7 linked regions of the Cricetulus griseus genome follow. The protein of the gene in region 5 interacts with the protein of the main gene of each other region in a pairwise test. Links are inferred from orthologs where the notes say so. Each region holds a gene or a part of one and is shown on either strand. Other genes may lie near its edges.

The links.
Region 1: the proteins of cone-rod homeobox protein (region 5) and Gcm2 interact in binary tests that used the Homo sapiens proteins (3 or more experiments, as listed by UniProt). The link is inferred for Cricetulus griseus from reciprocal best matches to the Homo sapiens genes CRX and GCM2.
Region 2: the proteins of cone-rod homeobox protein (region 5) and Larp4 interact in binary tests that used the Homo sapiens proteins (3 or more experiments, as listed by UniProt). The two-hybrid records come from large-scale screens. The link is inferred for Cricetulus griseus from reciprocal best matches to the Homo sapiens genes CRX and LARP4.
Region 3: the proteins of cone-rod homeobox protein (region 5) and Abi2 interact in binary tests that used the Homo sapiens proteins (3 or more experiments, as listed by UniProt). The link is inferred for Cricetulus griseus from reciprocal best matches to the Homo sapiens genes CRX and ABI2.
Region 4: the proteins of cone-rod homeobox protein (region 5) and Tle5 interact in binary tests that used the Homo sapiens proteins (3 or more experiments, as listed by UniProt). The two-hybrid records come from large-scale screens. The link is inferred for Cricetulus griseus from reciprocal best matches to the Homo sapiens genes CRX and TLE5.
Region 6: the proteins of cone-rod homeobox protein (region 5) and Banp interact in binary tests that used the Homo sapiens proteins (3 or more experiments, as listed by UniProt). The two-hybrid records come from large-scale screens. The link is inferred for Cricetulus griseus from reciprocal best matches to the Homo sapiens genes CRX and BANP.
Region 7: the proteins of cone-rod homeobox protein (region 5) and Ccnc interact in binary tests that used the Homo sapiens proteins (3 or more experiments, as listed by UniProt). The two-hybrid records come from large-scale screens. The link is inferred for Cricetulus griseus from reciprocal best matches to the Homo sapiens genes CRX and CCNC.

The regions. Positions count from the first base shown.
Region 1 is NC_048596.1:260,738,836-260,741,855, forward strand, and holds the end of Gcm2 (chorion-specific transcription factor GCMb), read right to left. Parts: coding exon 3,005-3,020; intron 1,430-3,004; coding exon 501-1,429; downstream 1-500. UniProt on the Homo sapiens protein: Transcription factor that binds specific sequences on gene promoters and activate their transcription. Through the regulation of gene transcription, may play a role in parathyroid gland development.
Region 2 is NC_048595.1:396,485,682-396,488,447, reverse strand, and holds part of Larp4 (la-related protein 4), read right to left. Parts: intron 2,322-2,766; coding exon 1,983-2,321; 3' UTR 1-1,982. UniProt on the Homo sapiens protein: RNA binding protein that binds to the poly-A tract of mRNA molecules. Associates with the 40S ribosomal subunit and with polysomes. Plays a role in the regulation of mRNA translation.
Region 3 is NC_048595.1:414,643,646-414,647,612, reverse strand, and holds the start of Abi2 (abl interactor 2), read right to left. Parts: upstream 2,801-3,967; 5' UTR 2,654-2,800; coding exon 2,537-2,653; intron 1-2,536. UniProt on the Homo sapiens protein: Regulator of actin cytoskeleton dynamics underlying cell motility and adhesion. Functions as a component of the WAVE complex, which activates actin nucleating machinery Arp2/3 to drive lamellipodia formation.
Region 4 is NC_048598.1:102,314,988-102,317,140, reverse strand, and holds the end of Tle5 (TLE family member 5), read right to left. Parts: intron 2,134-2,153; coding exon 2,071-2,133; intron 1,621-2,070; coding exon 1,546-1,620; intron 1,430-1,545; coding exon 1,208-1,429; 3' UTR 501-1,207; downstream 1-500. UniProt on the Homo sapiens protein: Transcriptional corepressor. Acts as a dominant repressor towards other family members. Inhibits NF-kappa-B-regulated gene expression. May be required for the initiation and maintenance of the differentiated state.
Region 5 is NC_048602.1:10,446,645-10,450,747, forward strand, and holds the start of cone-rod homeobox protein, read right to left. Parts: upstream 2,801-4,103; 5' UTR 2,774-2,800; coding exon 2,674-2,773; intron 995-2,673; coding exon 843-994; intron 1-842. UniProt on the Homo sapiens protein: Transcription factor that binds and transactivates the sequence 5'-TAATC[CA]-3' which is found upstream of several photoreceptor-specific genes, including the opsin genes.
Region 6 is NC_048596.1:198,640,727-198,644,226, forward strand, and holds part of Banp (protein BANP), read left to right. Parts: intron 1-261; coding exon 262-429; intron 430-3,500. UniProt on the Homo sapiens protein: Controls V(D)J recombination during T-cell development by repressing T-cell receptor (TCR) beta enhancer function. Binds to scaffold/matrix attachment region beta (S/MARbeta), an ATC-rich DNA sequence located upstream of the TCR beta enhancer.
Region 7 is NC_048595.1:119,717,543-119,721,042, forward strand, and holds part of Ccnc (cyclin-C), read right to left. Parts: intron 2,909-3,500; coding exon 2,824-2,908; intron 2,661-2,823; coding exon 2,591-2,660; intron 1,108-2,590; coding exon 1,056-1,107; intron 1-1,055. UniProt on the Homo sapiens protein: Component of the Mediator complex, a coactivator involved in regulated gene transcription of nearly all RNA polymerase II-dependent genes.

The sequences.
Region 1 (3,020 bases), on a different chromosome or scaffold from region 5:
GGTTGATATCAGCTTTTAACACGATAATAGATATCTTCTGCTATCACCCATACTGTTGGAAAGCTATTTAAGAGGATGCTTGAATAAACTGTGGTCTCCAGACTCAGGAGAGCCCTCCTGAGATGGAAAAAAAAAAAAAAAAGAATAGGAACCTTGGCTAGTAAGCTAAGGGAAGTCAGGCCCATGTGTTACAGGCCTTCAGCTCATTTATGTGTTCATTTGGAAGACTCACACTCCCAATAGCCTATGTGGTGAGGTGGGCTTCAAAATGCTGAGCAAACTCCAGCATCCTGTCTACCATTTCACACTAATATCCTTAGCTTACCCTTATACTAACTCTGTGTGTGTGTGTGTGTGTGTGTGTGTGTGTGTGTGTGTGTGCGCGCACACATAAAATGAAACATACAAAGTGAATTAATCTCAACAATCGGTGGTTGCCCTTTTGCGTGGATTTTCTTGCATGCACTCCATTATCATGGGGTGTGTTCCCTGGAATCCTTCTAAAAGTCTTCACTGTCAAAGTTAAAAGGCTGCCCTGTTCTATCCAAGTAACCTGTCACAGAGTCCACCCCAGACAGACACACATCCCACGCATCTGCTCCATCTGTCCTGAAGGGATCTGTCTCTTGAGGAAAAGCCAGAGTGGGTCTGAGGACCTGGCAATCACCTGGAAGTTTCATGGGGGCTCTCTCCGGAGGAGAGGCTGCCTGCGTGGCTGCATCTGGAGGGCCCAAGGCTTGTGGGTAGATGGGCATTGGGAGGTTCTCAGAGGCATATGTGCAGCTGGCCAGGCTGCTGACCTCCTTCATGCTGTCACTGTGTTTCTGAGCAGGGTGCTGGTACGCCTGGTAGGCCACTGTGGTGGTGATCACGGTCTGCAGGGCCTGGGTTCCTGCTGGTGGCACTGGCAGGTACCTGCAGGGCAGCTCTGGGTTGTAATAAGGGCATGTGGTCACAGCCTGGCATTGCCCATAATCAACTCTCTCTTCAAGGCCAGGTTTTCTGTGTGTAGGTTTCCAGCCATGATATTTAGCTGTGAAATCCAAGCTTCTCTCATAGCTGCCATATGAACTGACATTATATTGTAGTGAGTTTAGATGAACCCAGTCAGTGTCATCAGGGACACTGGAAGAATCTTTATGCAGGGTGGGATACGGACTTGAACCTGTACCCACAGGACCCGCCAATTCATAGCTCCAAGGTGGTCTGGGCAAATAGACTCTTGGATTTGAATAATTCTGAAAGGTCAGCATTGCATCTTCTTGAAAGGTGGCCAGGTCATAGGTGACTCTGTGAACATCAGAGTTTGGGAAGGAAGGGCAGGGCTGCCCTGTAATAGGGAGGCTGGAATCAACAGTCATATCAAGCAGTTCTGTGGCTTCCGGGGCAGGCATGCTATTGAGGTTTCCACTGCAATCCTGAGTGCTTCCTACCTAAAAAAAAAAAAGTCACAAATACAGACTTATGACACACAACACATGCCACCATGACATATAATATGTACATGTTGTGAACACAGTCATCTATACCAACAGCCAACATCATAAATAAAATACACCTGCTGTTGGGTTCTGTATAGTGAACCAGGTCCTGCTAAGATTCACAATTTGGGCCTGGGGTCCAGAAGCTGCTGGTGGATGTGCGGAAACAAGGAAGGTCCCCAATAGTCAGGCAGGGTGTGGCTGAGCAATGGATGCACCTGTTCTCATCCATGTGTTCCTAATAGTGGAGGCCCAGGAGCCACTCAGACCTGCCTTCAAATCCTGTCCCTGTCTCTCCTAACCAAATGGGTGTTTTCTTTCTCTGAATCAGCATTGTACAGGATTTAGTTGCAGCCAGCTCTTCAGAGGGTTTCTGTGACCCTGAAATGCATGAACTCTTAGATCAGCACTTGGCAAGTGGAAGGGCTTGAACAATGCCAGGGTCTGCTCTGCACATGCTCACTGCCTGCTCGGCACGGTTTGGGGGAAATGCAAATGGGATCAGGTTGACTAGGGAAAACTTATCTGTTCCTCCATAAACACTGCTGCTAGTGCTTGGATCTTAAGGATCCTCCAACGTTCCATGTGTTTTAGGCTTGGTCCCCAGTGTGACACCATCAAGAGATGGCGGACTCTTAAAGTGGTGGGATATAGGAGGAGATTGTAGGTCACCGGGGGTGTGTCGTCAGCAGAGTCTGAGCCAGTTGGGAATTGGCTCCCTCTTTTCTTTTTTTCTCTTTAGTTTCAGGTGATGAGGTAAAGAGCATCTCCCATCATGCACTCCTCACCATGATGAACTGCCTTGTTGCTGGCTCTAAAGCAAGGATCACCAGAACCAGATTGCAAACTTCTAAAACCATAAACCCAAACAAATCTATCCTCTCTGAAGGTTTATTGTCTCAAGTATTTTGTTTCAGTAACAGAAAACCAACAAAAATCGTGAAAAACCTTCTCAAGGTCACCCTATTAATTCAGTGTTGATGCACATACAATAGTCCCCCCTTAGCACAATTTTGCTTTTTGAGGTTTCAGTTTTGGTTTAATATCCCCCCCAACCCCCGCCGCCGCCGCCACCCAGTGGAACACTGCAAAAATAAACAGCACGTATAAGTTTAAAATGACTTGAATTATAATGTATGGCTATAATTGTTCTTTTGTTATAGTTTACAAGTTAAACTTTATCATGGTATTGTGTAAGAGAAAGACAGCTACAGAATACAGAATATTCAGGGTGGATTCAGGAAGGCAGTGAGATATGAGAGTGCTCTATATTTATTACTGTGGGACAACTGCCTTTGTACAAGTCAGCAGACATCCTAACGTCATCGCCTGTAGGGATCACTTGCCTATTTTAAAAAAGGGATTAATTAGTGCCCCCAGCCAAGTGTTGATTTAATGATATTTGCAGTTGGTACATGGCATTCATCTTTCAGTTAACTGTCAAGTGAGCACAGACCTTCAGGGGTGTTAGTTCCCGTTAGTTACCTCAGGCTCTGCGGAGCTCCAGGTGGTGTCAGTGCCCATTATCTCAGGCTCTCT
Region 2 (2,766 bases), on a different chromosome or scaffold from region 5:
ACTAATCGTTTCCAACTGAGCAAATATACCATGTTACCAACCCACCAAACCATAAGCGATTGCCAAGCTAAATAAATTACAAAGAAATAATAATTGCAGGTTACACAAATTGTGCAGTGTTTTCAAAGCTCTTAGGAATTACCCACTAACACAAATCTCTGACACTTAGGAGTTGGAAGATCAGTTTCACAGTAATATAACTTTAACTTCCATTTACATTCATTTTAAATATATTACTACGATGTTTATGTCACAATGGTGCTTTCCAGTGTCCACAATTTACAGTTTCAATTTGTACATACGTAACTCACTAATGTAAGGGACAGTTCTTACTACTGTAACTATCCCTAAGCAGAAAAATAAACCACCACCCTACATACAACTATAAAAATGGTATGACTTCAAATAGATCAATCCAACATGGTTTTTCATATTTGAGCTGTTTTCTAAATATCAGTATGTAAACTTGCCTATTTAATATATGACAGCTATAACTTTATTCACTGAGAAATTATGCATTTATTTTCCTCAACCATTTTTCTCACTTTATCTCAAAAATTTCTTGACTTGCTGTTTTTAGTCAGTGAATAACAAACTGTATTTCTTGGTGGGGAGGGGAAAAGATGACAAACACTGTAAAAAGAAAAAGAAGCCTCCCCAAATTAATTCTTAAATTTTTTCTCTTTTATATCATTTTAAAAAGTCAGTTACATTGCTTAATCTTTCTTTTTTTGAGACAGGGCCTCTCACTAGGTAGTTCTGGATGGACTGTATTTCATGTAAACCAGGTGGGCCTAGAATTTAGATGCACCTGCCTTTGCCTCTGAAGCTGGGATAGAGATGTGTTTGTCTCCCCATCTAGAAGCACTTTTCTTTTTTAACACCAATACAAATAAATTAATGGCAGGCCAGTACCATCCTGCATCCTAAAATTCTAATTTCTTTGATAGAAGAATAAAATTTTTCAATAATCCATTATAACGTTTAGGTTAGATATATGATTTGATTAAGCTGGTCAAAGTAGTGAGAAACCACAATCCAGGAAATGGTTGGTTATTTTGGTTCTGGGGGTGAAGAGTCAAAGAACAGAGACTAACAAACAAGTAAAAAAAAAAATTGTCTTCCATTTTAAAGAGGATTAAAAAAAAAGTCATAGGGCAGTTTGAACCTCTGAAATTGATTTGACCTATCCAGTATTCAGGTCTAGAACAGAATTTCTCAATTTCTTTTGAATCATCTCTATCCTTTTCTTGAATATCAGACTGATTGGTAGTCACAGCTTCACACACAATCAGAGCTTAATAGCTAGCTCAGTACAATACAATATTAGTAATGTCAAAAAACAAACTAAATTCCAAACTACAAAAAGATCTACTCAAGTATTACATTCAGTTTTCAAATCATTTACTAACATGACAACATATTTGGCTTCAATCACTTTGCACACACTCACACCCAGAACAGACACCTCAGCTACTGACCTGCTCTGCAACACAAGGCCATTTGTCAGAGATGGCATTTTTCAAGCCAAACTTTAAATAGATTAAAAAAAGTAATTTCTAATTTTTACAGAAATGTTTCTTCAAAAAATATTTTCTCTCACTCCCTCATCTCCTATACTGAAGGATGTATAATGTTTTTTGTTTTCTCTCCCAAGCTAAATCTGAACCCTCAAAATTGATTCCAGGCAGAAATCCCTGCAAATTAAAATCAAAAACAAAAATAGAAAAATTATATTTATATATATGTGTGTGTATATATATATATATATTTATATATATTTATACTGATTGGAATCCTCCAGCATTTGAAAATCACTTAGAGATGAATTTTGGGCTCCTCTTAAAATTCCAAAATCCATAATATTTAAGGACATACTTCCCATCTTTCCTGGCTACTTCCTCCCTTCAAAACAGTTCAATATAGGCTCAAGTTTAGTGGGAAGAGAGAAGTTTCTGAGTAGTTTTTGTTATGTTTTGCTTTTACTTTGGTGATCTGGGTGGCACGAACTGCTCTTTCCCATTACGTCGAGTCATTCCCTGAGGTGTAGCCCTATGGCTAAACTGGCGTCTCTGTTCCCTGATTTTTCCAGCTGCTCCCCGGGGAATGGTATTGCCTCGGAAGCCAGAATGATCCTTACTAGCCCTTGTTTCTGGTTTCTCGTGTGTTTTTTCCACAGGCTTCTCGGGTGCTCCATTCTCTTCGTTTCTGGTGGGAGATACAACATTGGATCGCAGTTCCCGCAGTGGTTGTACAAGCACTGGAGATGGCTCCTTAGGAGGCTTCTGACATACTTCAGCGTAACTTAACTTTCGAGGTTCCTTTAAAAAAAATAAAATAAATAAATAAATATGGTGAATATTTCACTGAAGGATAAATAAAGTATTAGCTTTAACCAGAAGGACAGTAATAAATTACTATTTAGGAAAGGAAAGTATGTATTCTCATAGTACTCTATAGTGCATATTTGGAATTTCTTTGGAATCTCTCTAGAATTTTTTACTTAAATTAAAAATCATCATCATCATCATCATCATCATCATCATCATCATCATCATCATCATCATCAGTAATTTTTTCAAGGTCAGGAACTCAACTTTGTAGACCAGGCTGGCTTTGAACTCAGAGATCCTATTGCCTTTGTCTCTTGAGTGCCGGAATTAAAGATATGTGCCACCCCTGCTGGGTCCCTATTAATCATCATCATCATCATCATCATCATCATCATCATCATCATCATCATCATCATCGTTATTGTGTGTGTCT
Region 3 (3,967 bases), on a different chromosome or scaffold from region 5:
CAGACAGCATCAGGACCCCTGCTGGTCAGTTCTTGAGTCAAATGTACAGCTGGGTCAGCACAAATCAACTATCACCAGTTCTAGTTATCATGTAAGAAGTGTCACCTGGGAGAGCACAACTGTAATAAATCCAGTGATTCCCACAATAGAGGACAACCTAAGCAATCAAAGTACAAACTCTACTTCAGGTGCTAAATTGAAAACAGATGATTCAAAATTCAAAATCCATTTCTAGGAAATTATTATTTGTGCTTTTACCGTGGGCTCAGAGTATAATTCAGGTAGAGTATATTTTTAACACGCACAAGACCCTAAACTCAATCCCCAACACCAAAAATAAGTACGTAAATAACATACCAATTTTGACACTTCTCTTTCAGCTAGAATTATAAAATTTAAGACAAATGCTGATTTTACACTTTTCCACTAGATCAATTCATGTATGCTTCCCTTTATGTGGCAATTATAATCTAACATAGTAGCATTAATCTTCCAAAGACAGACAAACCTGTTTCTTATTAGTCGGCTACAACTACAATCCTATCACTTTTCCATCCCCCAGTTTCTCTTCTGACAGACACTTTCCCACAATATGCTACATGAGGCAACAGAATTAGCACTTTTAGGTTTGCCTCTCCTAGCAGCTGTGAATCCCTGAAAATAAGCAAAACCTCCCTACCCACAATCCACTACAAAGTATAAATTAACTATACTTGACTTTTCCCTCAGTATCCAATAGGGATCAGTTCTAGAACACCCCCCACACCAACACCACAGCCCCATCCCAACATCTCTGGATACTCAAGTCCTTTACATAAAACTGCATATTTACATGTTATCCATAACACATCCTCCTCCATATTTTAAATCTACAGGTTACCTACAATACCTAATAAAATGTAAATGCCCATTAAGTGTTAACACTATCTTTTAGGGAAAGACAAGAAAAACGTCTCTTTGCATTTATACAGAGGGAGTATTTTCACTGATCAATTTATTGAATCACAAATGTAGGACCCTCCAACAAGAAGGGCTGACGATATATAGTACTAATATGGGTTTAATTCGCTCACAGATCAGCCTCTTGAACTACATTATAAACCCCTGAAGACTTTAGGAGTGTACCATCAACAGTTCTGGGCCAAAGAAGACTGGTGAAGCTAAGCAATAAAACCTTTTAACTCCTACACAGCTCTGTATTAGCAAGTATCTTAGGGTTTTGATTTGTTTTTAAATCAATCTGTAACCAAAGTCACACTTTCTTCCTACTGAACACACATTTTCAACTCCTTCTTTGAAGGGAAAAGGATTCCATTATGTCAGATTCATTCCCCAACACAAATGTTTGCAACAGTAGTAGAGTTCAGTACATGTGTAATCAATGAAAAACCTAATGACATTATCTCTGATTAACCATGTGGTCCCCAGAAAACTTATGAACCTATAAATTATAGAATTTTTAATATATACAATTCATACTAACTACTGAGAATGCTTTCCAATATAACTGGTTACGATAAGGGTATCTGCAGAGATGGGAGTAGGAACAAGAATGTTTAAAAAGGGCTAACAGCTTAACACCCTGCTTCCACTTTATCCAGAGAACATAAACGAGGCACAACCCAAAATTCCGTATATGCCCTACGGAAAACAAGAGATACTGGATTTGAAAATCATTAGTTAATTTTTAAAGCGTTGTTTTAACCCATAAGATTTTTAACATTCATCCATGACCAGCTGGTTCTCATCTCACCAATGTCTTTCCCCCACCTTCTCACCTTCCTACACACACCCACTATGAGTCCCGGTGCCAAAGCAATCATCATGGGAAAAAAACTAAGGTTCATTTTCGTAAATCTTTGTGAAAAATAGTCATAGTTCTTTTTCCCATAGGAAAATGACCTATTCTAACGGGGATTGGGGAGGAAAAGCAGCCCATCATCGGGCAGTTCCCCATTCTCTGTATTGAGAAAAATGCCATTAACTTGTAATAAGGGACGCCGTCCCACTGTGTCCCCTTTACAACCTTAAAAAAAAAAAATTAAACTTAAGGGTTAAGTATTTTTGTTTTGTCTTCAGGGGACATTCCCAGGAAGGGAAAACCGAAGCAATTCACTTTGCAGGAACTGGACCCCTTAAAAGCCCCTGGGAATTGGGCAGGAGGTAACATATCCCTCTATCACACACAACCCGGCCATCCGAGCAGCATTCCGTTATCTACAAAATGCCACTCGCCACCTCCTCCGCCGCCGCCCGGAACCCTGACAGGCGAAGAGTGCGGGGGCAAAGGGGCAGCGATGAGGAGGCGGGCCGCCACACACGCACGCACCGCACCGCGGACCCGCACGGGGCTTCTGGGGCGTTCCGCCGAGCCCGCTTCCTCCCGCCGCCGCCGCCGCCGCCGCCGCCCTCGCCCGTCCCCACCCCGGCGCGGCTCCCCGGGCCGAGCACCGCGCGGCCTCCTCAGGCGGCGGCGCCCCGCGCGCCCCGCACACTCCCGCGACCTGACGCGCTCAGCCGGGGGGACGCGACGCACCTGGATGTAGTTGTTCTCGCAGTAGTCGGCCACCCGCTCCAGATTCGTGTAGCTGTCGAAGAGGGCCCGGCGGCCCCCCGGGATTTCCTCTTCCAGCAGCATCTGCAGCTCCGCCATCTTCACATCCTCCTCCTCCTCCGCCTCCTCATACAGCCCGCAGAGGCAGCGGCCGCGACGCCTGAGAGAGGAGGAGCAGCGGCGAGCGCGGCGGGAATCGGGAGGAGCGAGCGGCACCCCCAGCGCGCGGCGGGGAGGGCGGGAGGGGGCGGGGGACGGAGGCGGGGGCGCGAGCCGGCGAGAGCCGCGAGGACGGTCACCGCGGCGACGGGCGGGCGGGCAGCGCGGGCACGCGCACGCGCGCTCCCCTCCCTCCCTCCGCCCCCGGGCTCCCGAAAAAGATTCCCACCCGCGCCGCCCCTCCCCCACTTCCGGCGTCTCCTAGCGACGGCAGGCGGGGGCCGGGATGCGCGCGGGAGCCGGGCTCCGGGTTAACCCTTCGGCCCCGCGCGGGCTTCCCGGCTCTGGAAGTCCCTCCGCTGCCTTTGTTAGCCCGGCGGGAATGCGCCGCCGCCGCCCCCATCCTTCACCTCGGTGCTATCCGCCCGAGGAAGCTCTCCAGGCCCCTCCGGAGGCCTAGGGAGGGCACGTTCACTCACACACCCTCTGTGAGAGGTCACACTTCATCAGGGCAGCCAGAGCCACTGAACTTCCAGGTAGCTCTAAATGCCACCTTGGACCTCATCCTCTCCTTTACAAAGTAAATTGCAGTCACCTAATCCCAAATCTGTTCATCATTCATTCATTCACTCATTCATTCATTCGTATTCCAGGTCTCCCTCTCTCCTATCTTTTTTGCAAAGTCTCCCCGAAGTAGACCAGGCTGGCTGAAATTACAAGTATATGTATGCTGTGGTTGCCCAGACTGGAGCTCCTCCTCTTTCTTGACTTTTTTTTCCCAAATTTTCGATGGTGGTTTTGCTGGTACTAATTTCATTATTCATATGGTTTGGGCATGAATAAAATTAAATGAGCGCACATTGAAAGATGTTTAATTAATACAATTCAAGGTAGTTCAACCTGATCTTGCTTGTAATCCAGATGTCAAATCTTTTTTCATAAATATGATTACCCCACATGGTGAAACTTGAAAAAAATAAAATAAAACTGGCATCTTCTGAGATATTGAGGTCACTTTTATTTGTTCTGTGGAAAACCCAAAGGGTACCATCTTAGAGGGTAGTTCAGGATTTGTGGCTTCAGCCTTTTATTGCTCTTGCGGTCACTGGCCCTTCTGCAATCAGTTTTCAGATGGATGAGGAAACAATTATACATTCCTTAAAAAAAAATAAAATGCATACCATCACACATTTGTGGAGTAAACCCTGTGTTGTTTCATTAGCTTTTGATAAATACTTTACCAATATGTGTGAA
Region 4 (2,153 bases), on a different chromosome or scaffold from region 5:
TTGAGGAGTTCCAGGCCAGCCTAGGCTACTCAGAGAGACCATGTCTCAAAAAATAAGCAACAAAAACAGAGCCATAAGATGGCCCCACCAGTAGAGGTGATTACAGTGAAGTTCAATACCCTAAGTTCAATTCCCAGGCCCACATGGTGGAAGAGACACCTGCAAGGTGTCTGCAAGGCATCTGACTGATCAACACAGAGGCAACAAACCAGTAAATGCAAAAAAAATTAAAACAAGTGGAGATGTGTGCCAGGGCCTCCCCAGAGACAGCCTAGCTTGGAAGAGATACAGGAAGCACTCAGGCCATCTCTGGGAGGGTAAGCAGGGTTTAGTGACTCTCTGTGGGTGCCACAGCCACCTCTGCTCACAGCTGTATTGTGTGCCCCCCATGTCCATAGTTCACCCTCTGGGCCCTTGCTTGAGGGATCTTTGTCTTGGGACGGGGGCGTCCTGAGGAAAGGGGTCCCCACCCCACAAGACAGAGGCAGGGACACAGTGGCCAACCTTTTCATGTTTTTATTTCAAAGGCACAGCTAGACCCCAGCCTCAGTACAGCAATCTCCCTTCTCTCGGGGAGACCAAGACTACGCACCAAAGCTAACTATATACACAGACACGCGTGGGGCTTCGGTCTTTTTTTTTTTTTTAAATCCCCTTTCTTAGAAGACAAGCTATATAATACCAGGGCAAAAAGGAACAATAAACAAACCAACTTCAGAACCCTCACGTTTATTTGGGGAAGGGGAGAAAGGAAGTTTTTGGGTGCCCACCCCCACTGCAGTCCCCGTGCCTTCGAGTCACTTCCTCTCTGTCCCCTTCTTTCGTGGGCAAGGGGACCAGGCTGGGTGATTGGGGGGGGGGTTGTCTGGGCCTAGCAGGTGTGCAGTGCGGGAAGCAGAGAGAGAAGGGGTCAGGACCAGACTCTGGGTGTGCAGGGTGGAAAGGGGCAGCTAGCGTTGCGTTGTGTACATTCTGGGCCAAGATTGGTGGCTGTGGCCCGGGTAAATGTGGAGGTGGGGGATTTCTTGCGGCTCCCTGTAGCCTGGGGTACCTCTCTGGAGTCCCCTAGACCCGGGGTGCACAGCAAGAAGGCCGGAACCAGGACTGGGGGTGGAAACTTGGGTAGTGACCGAGCTGTGTGCTGTGTGGCCCTCGGAACACCGTGACCTATCTGTGCCTGTCTCCCCTGTGTCCTCCTCCCCAGGAGCTAGTCCGACTTCTCGCCATCATCCTCCTGGTGAGTGTCCCCATCGTGTCCGTTCTTGTCCTCCTTAGAGAGGTGGGTTTGAGAGCCCAGCGCTGACAGTGACAGCAGGCCGGTGCCCGCGCTGACCGCAGGGAGCGATGGCGGCTGGAGCCCCACGGGAAGCGGTGTCAAGGGCAGAGCCAGGGCCTGAAGCTGGGACAACTGGTGAGCCTGGAGCTGCTGCTGCAGGATGGGGGAGGGGGGGCAGGGTCAGCCCAGGGCCCACCTGGGTGCCGCATCTCCTGTTATTAACCCACCGGGGGTCACCTATCCCATGCTCACCCAGGGCTCCAACTTACTCGGATGATGGAGTTTAGCTCGGGAGCCGTGACCTGCTTGGCTCTCTCGATGGCTCCCAGGACCTGCTGCTGATGCTGTAATAAGCAAGGGGAGGAGACAGAGGGGGCTTAGTGACTGTTCCCTCAGGCAAAGGGACAATCAAGTGGGATTGATGAAAAGAAATTGGGGGGGGGGCTTCTGTGCAGCGGGCAACTGCTGTAATGACAGGGAAGTCCTGTCCTAGGGACTCAGGGGACAGTGGGAGGATGATGGAGTGGGGGTGGGGCCTGGGATAGGCAGGGCTAGGAATCCAGCTTGGGGGATTTCCTCTGAAAGCTAGTCTGCAGGAGCCACCTGCCCACCTGGGTCCCCATCATCTGACCCCACCCACAGGGGTTCCCCTTTATGCCTTGATGTAAGTAAGCCTGTCCTGCTGCGGCAGCTTCTCTTTGATGAGTTCAGAGAAGGCAGGCAGACTTGTGCCCTGGGGGCACCCAGCAAGGGGCAGATGGAACCCCAAGGCCCCCTGCTGGTGGCTCGCTTACCTCCTGTGACAAATAGGGCAGAACCTGGGCGCAAATCCCATTCAGCCTCTTCACGATTTCAGCCTGGAACACACATGATTTCC
Region 5 (4,103 bases):
GGAGACAGCAAGACTGGCAGATCTCTGTGAGTTCAAGGTCAGCCTGGGTCTAGAAAGCAAGTTCCAAGACATCCAGAGCTGTTACACAGAGAAACCCAGTCATGGAAAACAAAATATAGTTTTAAGATTAAAAACAAATAAAAAAAATCCAGGCAGGGGTGGCACTCTTTTAATCCCAGCACTTGGGAGGCAGAGGCAAGCAGATCTCTGAGTTCGAGGCCAGCCTGGTCTACAGAGTCAGTTCCAGGACACTGAGAACCCTGTCTTTGTTTTTTTGTTTTTTTTTTTTTTGGTGGGGAGGGGGGGTTCGAGGCAGGGTTTCTCTGTGTAGCTTTGGAACCTGTCCTGGCACTCGCTCTGGAACCAGGCTGGCCTCGAACTCACAGAGATCCACCTGCCTCCCGAGTGCTGGGATTAAAGGCGTGCGGCACCAATGCCCGGCTGCTACTTCATAATTGTGACTGTTACTCTGTGGCCTGTCTTTCCTCCACTCATTCTGGATCTAATAAGGACCCATCGAAGATCATAGTAAGGGACTTGGCGGTGATGTCACACGCCTTTATTCCCAGCATTTGGGCGGCAGAAGCAAGTAGATCTGAGTTCAAGGCCAGCCTGGTCTACAAAGTGAGTTCCAGGATAGACTCCTGAGAAACCCTGTCTCAAACAGGAGGAGGAGGAGGAGGAGGAGGAGGAGGAGGAGGAGGGGGAGGAAGAGGAAGAGGAAGAAGAAGAAAAAGAAGAAAAAGGAGAAAAAGAAAAAGGAGAGAGAGAGAGAGAGAGAGAGAGAGAGAGAGAGAGAGAGAGAGATCACAGTAAAGCAGCAGAGTTCCAGAACATCCTACCTGGACCCTGGACTCAGGCAGGTTGATCTTGAGAGCCACCTCCTCGCGTGCATACACATCCGGGTACTGGGTCTTAGAGAACAGGGCCTCCAGTTCCTCCAGCTGGCTTCTGGTGAACGTGGTTCTCTCCCGCCGCTGCTTCCTAGGGGCGCCTAGGTTTGGGAGAATGAAAGAACCCTCAGGTTAGCTGGGTCTGCTCGCTGGATGCCCTGATCCAGTGGGACACCAGCCCTGTCCTTTCTGCCCAGACAAGGGGCTGTGTTTATTCCCCGGCCTTCTAGCACCGGCTCAAGTCTCCAGAGCTTTCCAGTCAAATGTCCACAGGAGGGAACTGCTTTTAGCCCTGCAAGGATTTGCCCCTTTTTGTTCTCAATTCTCTCCAACCTCCTTTCCCTCCTCCGCCCTCTTCCTCCTCTTCCTCTCTCTTCTCCCCTTCTCTTTCATTACACTATGTAGCCCATACCGACCCTAAAATCCTGGGATTGCCTGGTCCTCCTACCTCAGCCTCCCAAATAGCTGGGAGTTCAGGCAGGAGCCACTGCACCAGACTCCGCTCCTGAACCTTATTATTCATAAAAACATATTCATGGCCAGGCAGTGGTGGCGCACGCCTTTGATCCCAACACTCCGGAGGCAGAGTTCGGGGCCATCCTGGTCTACAAAGGGAGTTCCAGAACAGGCTTCAAGGCTACACAGAGAAACCCTGTCTCAAAGAACCAAAAAAAGGCCTGGCATTGGTGGCGCACGCCTTTAATCCCAGCACACGGGAGGCAGAGGTAGGCGGATCTCTGTGAGTTCGAGGTCAGCCTGGTCTACAAAGCGAGTGCCAGGATAGGCTCCAAAGCTACACAGAGAAACCCTGTCTCAAAAAAACAAAAACAAAAAAAGAAAGAAAGACACATTCGGTAGAAACATGTTGTTAAAAACCAAGCACTTCAGCCCATAAAAGCGATGTCTCTATGACTCAATATAAAAGAAAGAAGGTGGGCTAGCAAGACTGCAGTGTCAATTATGTACAAGCCTGAAGACCTGAGTTCAGTCCCTGGGACCCACAAGGTAGAAGGAAAGAAATGACTCCCAAAAGTCATCTCAGACCTCTGCAAGACAGCCGTGGCTCCTGCTTTCCATCCTGCATGCAAAAACTCATGCAATCGTTTTTTTATTCTCTAAACAAAAAAAAAAAAAAAAAAGGTGGCTCCTGCCTTTAATCCCAGCACTCGGGAGACAGAGGCAGGAAGATCTCTGTGAGATCAAGACCAGCCTGGCCTACAAGAGCTAATTCCAGGACAGCCTCCAAAGCTGCAGAGAAACCCTGTCTCAACAAAACAAAAGAAAAAAAAAATGTGGTCTACATAGTGAGTTTCAGGCCAGCCATGGCTACATAGTGAGAATTTGTCTCAAAAATGAACGAAGGAGGAAAAAAAAGAAAGAAATAGAAAAGAGAACTGTTAAATAAGTACCATAGTACAGCATGATGGTGCAGGACTATAATCCCAGGCCTCTAGAGACTGAACCAGGAGGCTGGGGGTGTGGCTCCATGGTAGAGCCCCCTGCTTAGAATCCCAGAGTTGAAGGGCTGGAGGCGTGGCTCAGTGGAAAAGCACATGCCTAAAACCCCCCAGTGAGGGTGACTCACAGCTCCATAGTAAAGTACTTGCCTAGAATCCAAGAAAGCCCTGGATTCCAGCCCAACAAGCTCTACTCCAAAAATAAGAGACGGAGACAAAGAAAAGATAGTACCGTGGTCATTAGAATGCTCACTTCTTTTAGAAATAAAGTTTTACAGACTGATGGAAAAACAAGACAGAGATGGGAAGAGGAGCACACTTACTTGAGTATGGGACTGCCTGGTGCATCAGGTCCACACTGGGGCCATTCAGAGCCAAGGCATTGACCGAATAGTGAGGTCCCGGGTTCATATACGCCATCATGATCTTCTGTGACTGGGACCCAGATGGGGGCACCTACAAGAGAAAGGGGTGTTCACTCTTCCCACTGCCAGGGCACTGACAAATTGATACTCACATCCTGTTCAGGGGCTCTTCTCAGGAACCATTCTCACCAGTAATCCAATCTCGTCTCTCTCTTTCTCTTTCTCCCTCTCGTTTTTTAGAATCCAAGTGTTGGCTATGGTACATTCATTTAATTCCTTAAACACTCACACTGGTGAGACAGAGGCAGGCAGATGACTGTGAGTTCAAGACCAGCATGGTCTACAGAGTGAGTTTCAGGACCTTAGAATATAGCTTTAGCTGTCCTGGAACTCCTAATTGTTTGTTTGTTTGTTTTGTTCTGTTTTTCCGAGACAGGGTTTCCTCGGTTGCCTTGGCTGTCCTGGAACTCACTCTATAGTCCAGGATGGCCTCAAACTCAGAGATCCACCTACCTACCTCTGCCTCCAGAGTGCTGGGATTAAAGTATGCACCACCCTTCCCGGCTCTCAATTTGTAGACAAGGCCACAATACCCAACTCAAAAAGAAAAGAAATGTTTTGCCAGGTGGTGGTGGCACACGCCTTTAATTCCAGCACTTGGGAGGCACAGGTGGGTGGATCTTTGTGAATTCAAGGCCAGCCTGGTCCACAGAGCCAGTTCCAGGACAGCCAGAGCTGTTACAGAGAAACCCTGTCTGGAGGGCAGGGGTGGGGTGGGGGGTTCTTTTTGGTTTTGTGCAACAGGGTTTCCTGTTGCGGGCTGACCTGACATTAAACTAGCCAAGGTTGATTTGATATTTCTGACCCTCCTGTCTCCACCGCACAAGTGCTAAGACTCTAGACATTAGCCATCACTCCAAGTGTGGGGCAGGTATGTGTATAGAAGCAGAGGGGAGGCCAAAATTCAACCCCAAATTTGTCCATCAGGCCACCTCATATTTTCATTTCATTAGTTTATTTTATTTTTGAAAGGTCTTATATACCTCGGGTTGGCCTTAAATTTACTAAGTGCCTGAGGATGACCTTGAACTCCCGATCCTCTTATTTCCACCTTCCGGGTGCCAAAATCACAGGTCAGCACCACCATACCTGGATTATATGGTGCTGGGTACTGAACCCAGGTCTTCACCAATGCTCGGACACACACTCTACCTAATAAGCTACGTCCCCAGTTCCCACCTTGGTTTTTTGTTTTTGTGTGTGTGTTTGTGTGTGTGTGTGTGTGTGTGTGTGTGTGTGTGTGTGTGTGTGTGTGTGTGTTTTGTTTTATTTGTTTTGGTTTTGGTTTTTCAAGACAGGGCTTCTCTGTGTAGCCCTAGCTGTCCTGG
Region 6 (3,500 bases), on a different chromosome or scaffold from region 5:
TTATTTAAAGGTTAAATAGACAAGAAGAATGATAAGTATTTGCATCTGTTCCTGCTGACCTAGTGACCTGAGTGACTCTTCCCTCATGTAGTTAGATTTTCTGGCTTCTTTTCTGGGGGATGAATCAGCCCTCCAGGAGTATGCCAGCAGGTCAGCTAGGTCTCTTAGCAGCACTCAGCTTCTGTGTTTGGTGCTCTCAGCAGGAGGGGCCTAGGTCAAATCCTGCATCTGATAGCTTTTATCTGGGACATGTTCTTTCAGGTCACCTCTTCTATAAATTTGGAATCACGGAATCTGACTGGTATCGCATCAAGCAGAGTATTGACTCCAAGTGCCGTACTGCATGGCGGCGGAAGCAGCGAGGCCAGAGCCTGGCAGTCAAGAGCTTCTCCCGGAGGACACCGTCCTCATCCTCATATAGTGCCTCAGGTATGCCCAGGAGATGGCTGCCCTGAAGCCTTTGTTCTCATGGAGAGTGCAGCCAGGGAGCTCGTTAATTCTGGCCCCACTCAGTGTGAGGCTGGCCTTTTGGGAGCTCCCTAGACAGTGGCAAGAGCATGAGGCCTGCATATCTTACCTTGTAGGTCCAACAAGAAGAGTTTGTGCTGGATCTACCTTATGTTGCCTGATTACTCATCACCTGAGTGTTCCACAGCCTTAAAAGTAATTACTGTTACTTGCAGCATGGCTGTAGGTGAAGGTGGAGGGCCTACATTGTGCTGCTCTTTAGTTTTACTTTGAGGTTGTAGACTCAGGCTTGTTCTCAAGATCACTGAGACAAATTCTCTGAGCTCTACCCATGGGCCTGCCCCCCTCTCATTATTCTAGTGCTAGGACTTGTGCCTGAGGGTCTTGGACGATCTTGGCTCTAGTACTTTGCACTGAACTATGTTCTCAACCCTAAAATAGTCTTTTAAACTCCTTTTCATGGCTTTCTTGGCAATAGCAGTAGCTCCTGAAAGCTGAGTCCTGTTTGGGGGTCAGCTCAGGACCCAGAGCAGCAGTGGGCAGGGGGCTGGCAGGGCTCCCTCTCAGTACAGGCTTTGTCCAGGGACTTTGTTTTGGAAGCTACAAAGCTAGTCACCTGGAGCCCTCCTTGACCATCTTCCTCTCTTATTTTGGTGGTTATCAGAAATTTAGCTCTAGTTGTTGCCAAGGTTCCTAAAGTGACACCTGTCCGAGAACAGGGAGCTGGCATGCCTGTCCTCAATTCAGCATGCCTCCCAAGGCACAGTTTGGAACCTGAAGAAGCAAGGGGCCTCTGGGAAGTATACAGCCGAATTAACAGTTGAGGAGGCAGACTGGTGCTGCTGTGAGAGCCCAAGTAGTGAACCTGCTGAACTTAGAAATGTGGTCCCATGTGACACAGAGTTCCCTTGGATTCTTGCTGTTTTCTGAGCTGAACATGCTTGCAGTGAATAGTAGCTGGGATTCTTAGCCAGTGTGCCCAAGCTCACATTGGGCTGAACAGGCATCCAGATGCTCACCAGCCAGAGCAAAAAGCCCAGGAGACAGGTCCAACTTTGGGAGAGAACTAGAGGGCCCTGGGTGTGCTTTCCCCAGAGAAAAGATGGTTTTTTTTGTTTGTTTGTTTTGCTTTTGTTTTTGTTTTTGTTTTTTTTAAATATTTATTTGTGTGTGTGTGTCTGTGTATGCGCATTGTCTCTTGCCTGCATGTAAGTCTATGCAACATATGCATGCTTGGTGCTGGATGAGATAAAAAGAGTACGTCAGATCCCCTGGAACTGGAGTTATGGATGGTCGTGAGCTACCATGTGGGGGCTGGAACTGAACCCAGGTCCCCCGAAAAAGTAGTAGTGGTCTTAACTGCTGAGCCGTCCCTCCTGCCATTCAAAGTCAGAACTTAAAGACAACCTGAGAAGATCACACTGGGCCACAGGTTTCATCAGTTTAATAGGAAGACAACAAAATCTAGACACCTAATCTGGGTACATTCACAAGGTTTCAGACCCAATACCAAGAAACAGGAAAAATATGACCTATGACCAAAACAGATAACAAACAAAACCGAAATCAACCAACCAACCAATCAACCAACCAACAACAACAACAAAAAAAACAACAAAAAAACCCCTAGTGACTAAGGAGGCCTTGCCTGGAATTAACAGCCCATGGCACTAAAATGTTAAGTAAAGTTATGTTCAAGGACTTAAAAGAGGAATAGAAATGTAGTAGCAAGGAAAGAAATAAGATTTTCAAAAAAATTGCCAAGTAGAGTTAGAGATGAAACATGAGGGAACAGTTTCCAGGGCCTGCGTTTCATGCAGCTGAAGCTGGCTGTTTATCTAGGACTTGTAAGGAATTATAGTCAAGTAGAGTTATTGGACAGTGTCTTGATGAGCCAGGTCGCACCCCAAATCTCTCACAGTTTGGTCCTGGTCTTGAAGCCAACAACAGTGGAGACTCAGGTACTTGTGCCTGTTTCTGTGGCTCCTGCAGGCTTACTTACTTATTAGTGGTTGGGCTCTTCTAGTTATTTGTGTTTCTTTCCACTGCTTGACAGTAGCTGAGCATGATGGTATTTGTATTCCATTTTTTAATTTCCAAATTTTTTCTTTTTATAATTAGTAGCTAGCTGCTTTATTTATTTGCTTATTTATTGATACTCTGTTTATAAACATAGTGGCAGCTTCTTTAAGATGCTATGGATGCTGGCTTCTTGTGTGGGCAGTTAGCCACTGTGCAGTGTATTAATTGCCCAGATTCTGAAAAGGTCCCCAGGAATGGCATGTTTGAGGAGTTCTGGCAGCTGTGACTGCTGGGCAATGGACAAACCCTGTAGTATGTGTCTGACTGAGGCATCATTCCCAGAAGGCACTGCCAGGTGGCTGTTCTTTTGTCCTGTTTGACCTGTGGTCTCTATCCTCCTGCCATTGGACATCATTGAGTGAGAACAGTGCTGACCCTGTTCTGTGGTTTTTGTTTGGAGTAGAAGAGAACATGTGGCTGGGAATGGGAGTCAGGAGGCTCAAGAACACCATGAGGCATGATTACTGTAATCATCTTCTGGTGGCTTTGGGTATGTATTGTTTGGGACTAGCTCAGAGCTGCCTGTGAGATAGTAGATATAGTTTCAGGTCATGGCTCATCATCAAGACAGGCACTTGCTTTCAGAAGAGGGCCTGGGCTGTCCTTGCCACTCAGCATCCATGGGGTCTGGTGACAGTTCACTGCTTTGTAAACTGATGATGAGGAGACATTTGTTGGCAAAGATCTGATTAAGCAGAGTGGGTGGTTAAGCCAAGGGACTTTTGGAATCTTTGTCTTTGTTCTGTCTGCATCTGCTGTTGCCTTAGCAAAACTATTCTGGTATTCAAGGCTATTTTGGTGATGGTAAAATGTAATTAAGCCAGAATTCTGTTAATTTGGAATTGGTATTAATTCCAGCTGGGTTGCCTTGTTACCATTGAATTATTAGCAGAGACAAGGGACCACCACAAAATACTGCAAATGAATTCACTTTTTTCACTTAAAAATAT
Region 7 (3,500 bases), on a different chromosome or scaffold from region 5:
AGGCATGGTAGCCCACACCCATAATCTCACCAGGAGATTAACAATCCTTCTTGGTAGGTAGAAGCTGGAAAAGCCCAAGTTTCACATAAGACGCTGTCTCAAAAAAAAAAAAATATCATAACGAAAGTAAAAAATGTGTTGTATAGGCTGGAGACTTGGCTTGGCTCAGTGGTTAAGAATTCTTCTTGTTGCTGAGGACCCAGGTTCAATTCCCAGCATCCACAAGGAGGCTCACCACCTCCCTAGGCACCAAGTCCTGTTGGGACCCTGCTGGGTGACCTAAGGTGCCCTTGGAGTTCTCTGTCCACTTCGAGATTAGGCATTCATTTCCCTCCTTCCACCTAGGCCTGTATGCAAACTATCTGCCCATTGCCGAGGGGCTTGGGGACATGGACCTTGGTCTGAGTAAATTTCTACTGTGACAGCTGTTGGTATATAAGTCTACTCCCCTCTGAAATAAACTGGCATTCTCCTTGCAACAATGAGCCACTGTCTTGTCTTTATTTAACCCTCAGATTCCCTTGCCCGAACCTGTGAAATGTTGTAACACTGGCCATTATTACAAAGTACAAATGTTTGCACAGAGACACATCCAGGCAAAACACTCATACACATAAAATAGTAATAATAAATCAAAGAAGAGACATTTTGGGGATGGAGAGATGGCTCAGCAGTTAAGAGCTCTGGCTGCTCTTCAAAGGACCTGGATTCAATTCCCAACAACTACATGGCAGCTCACACCTGTCCATAATCCCAGTTCCAGGGCTTCTGACAGCCTCACATAGGCATACATGCAGGCAAAACACCAATGAACATAAAATAAAAACAACTCCTTTACCTCTACCCTCCTAAGCACTGAGATTACAGGTCTACACCCTACATCAGTAAAAAACATCTTTTCAGACATTTTTTTTTTCCTGTCTAATATGCTAAGGATATTCTTTGGCACTGTAATAAATTCACCTACACTTGGGTCATAAACAAAACAAAATCTGTATGTTACAAAGCCTTCTTTGGATTTCATCTTTAAAGCAGAATACACTTTTTGCACTTACATACAGAAGTAGTAGCAGCGATCAATCTTGTATTTGAGACCACACCAAATTCCTAGAGAAAAGTGAATGAGATCAAGTACTTACTAACCCAGTAAATATTAAAGATATCTGAGATCTATTCAGAAACAGTTTTTCCAAGCTCCTCTCATGTTTACAGTCTGTTCAGTTGCTACCTACTTAATGGATGAAGCATTTAAATTTCTAAATGTATTACCTTTCCTTAAAATTTCAATAATTTGGGTTGGAGTATAGCTCAGAAGTATATTGTATATTGTATATTGCTTATCCAGAATGTTCAATCCTTAGCACAATTAATCAGCCAACCAACCAATCAATAAATAAATGCTGATACTACTCAGAAGACCAAACACCAACAGTTCTGAAAGAATGAAACAGTTATAATGAAATATAAGGCTTTGTAGGTAAGTTATTTTCTTTTCAACCTGATATACTACCATCATAAAATAGCTAAAGTTTATCATGTAATGTACTTAATACTCGCATTTAATTTCAGATAAACCACTTAAGATTCCTAAACCATTCACTTAATATGAATGTAAAAAAAAACAAGAATGGTCCTTTATTTAATAAAACTATTCAAATACCTTTAATTAAAAATCTGTAATCTAAGGGGGGCAGTGGTGATGCCTTTAATCCTAGCACTAGGGAGACAGAGACAGGAGGATCTCTGTGAGTTTGAGGCCATCCTGGTCTATGCCTTAGTTTCCTCATTTATAAAATGGGATGTAAATGTTACAACTCTAAGGGGAAAGACTTCCCTTATGACAGTGTTGACAGTTCTGAAGAGAAGTACCCCCAATGGTGGTATCACAGCTGAGGGGAAAGGCTTACCTAATGCAGGCATTGTCAGCTGAGGGGGAAGGTTTCCTCAATGAAAGTACTACAGCTCTGAGAGGAAAGGCTTCCCCCATAGAAGTGCTGCATGTCTAAAGGGAAAGGCATCCCGGCAATCAGGAGCCAAGGCATTCTACAAAGTCACGCTGCACAACAAACCTCACACAAGAGATTTATTGGGAGGGAAGGAAAACCCAGGAGGGTGGCTGCCTCTGCTTGGATGAGAAGCAGTAGGGAACTGAGTAGAAGGCAGGCTTTATATAGGGTTTCTTGGTGAGCAGAGAATTCCAGGGTAGTATGGAATTGGTGGGATTTTTGTGGCCTGATTTTGTGCAAGCTCAGGGACTGGTGGATTCTTTTTCTTAATCTTGGTCTCAGGTTATTTAAGAGTCAAGGTGTTCTCTCCCTGGCTCTGGTCTCAGATCAAGTCAAGGTCAAGGCCCTTTTACCCTATTGCTATATACTCTACAGTTATAGGATTAAACAAAAACTTATAGTCTCATTAAAGCATCTGATACATAGTAAGTGCCATATTTATTAAATATATAAAATTACTTGCAAGATGTATGTATTATCTTGTATAAATTACCCCTTAAGATTATCCATACAAAGGCAATATAAAAAAAGATTAACTGTACATAATATTATAGGTTGATGAAGAGCAAAAAATTGTTTTATACCTCTACTTTGGATGCCAGAAACACACATGTAGGAGCCATTAATACAGGATCTATACTTTTCAGAGAATACCTAAAACATGATTAGACAAGAGTTAAATTATGTCCATTTAGAAGACACACTGGGTAATCAGGCAATCATAATTCTATAGCAATCAAGTGACTTACTTATATATGGCATATGGAAATCAGAAGAGAACCTCAAACAGGCTAACAAAAAAATAAAACAGCCATACCTGGCATAGAACCTCTTGAAATAGACTGTAGCAGTAGCAATAACCTGTTGTCTTAATTTAAGATGTTCACCTAATGCTTGGATGACTAAAAGGGAAATAATAAAATTTTAATGTTTCACCTGGCACCATTATAGTAACATTAATAACATTAACTTTTAACAGTAATTTCTACATGTTAGAATTATGTCCACTCATAGCTAGGCACTCTCTGACACCCTCTGATCCACAGCTGCCTAAGACTTGCAAATATAGCAACATGCAAAACCAAGAAATAGAAACCACCTACAAGTTATCTTGCTATAAGGAAGTTGACTATCAAATATTCCTTTTAATACTTTTCAGATTATTTTCATAAAAAGTCCTAACTCTTGCAGAAGACCCAAGTTCCATTCCCAGCACCCACATGGTGGCTCACAATCATTTGTAACTCCAGTCCCTAGGGATCCAAGCCTCCTTGTCACTATATAACATATAGTGCACAGATACACATGCAGGCAAAATACCCATACATAAAAAAAAATAAAATTTATTTTAAAAAATACCAGGCAACAAAGCTATCCCAGCAGAGTAAAGGTCTCCTGACTAAACCCCCTTCTTTTTTTTTTGTTTTTTGTTTTTTGTTTTTTGTTTTTAGAGACAGGGTTTCTTTATGGCTTTGGAGGCTGTCCTGGAACTAG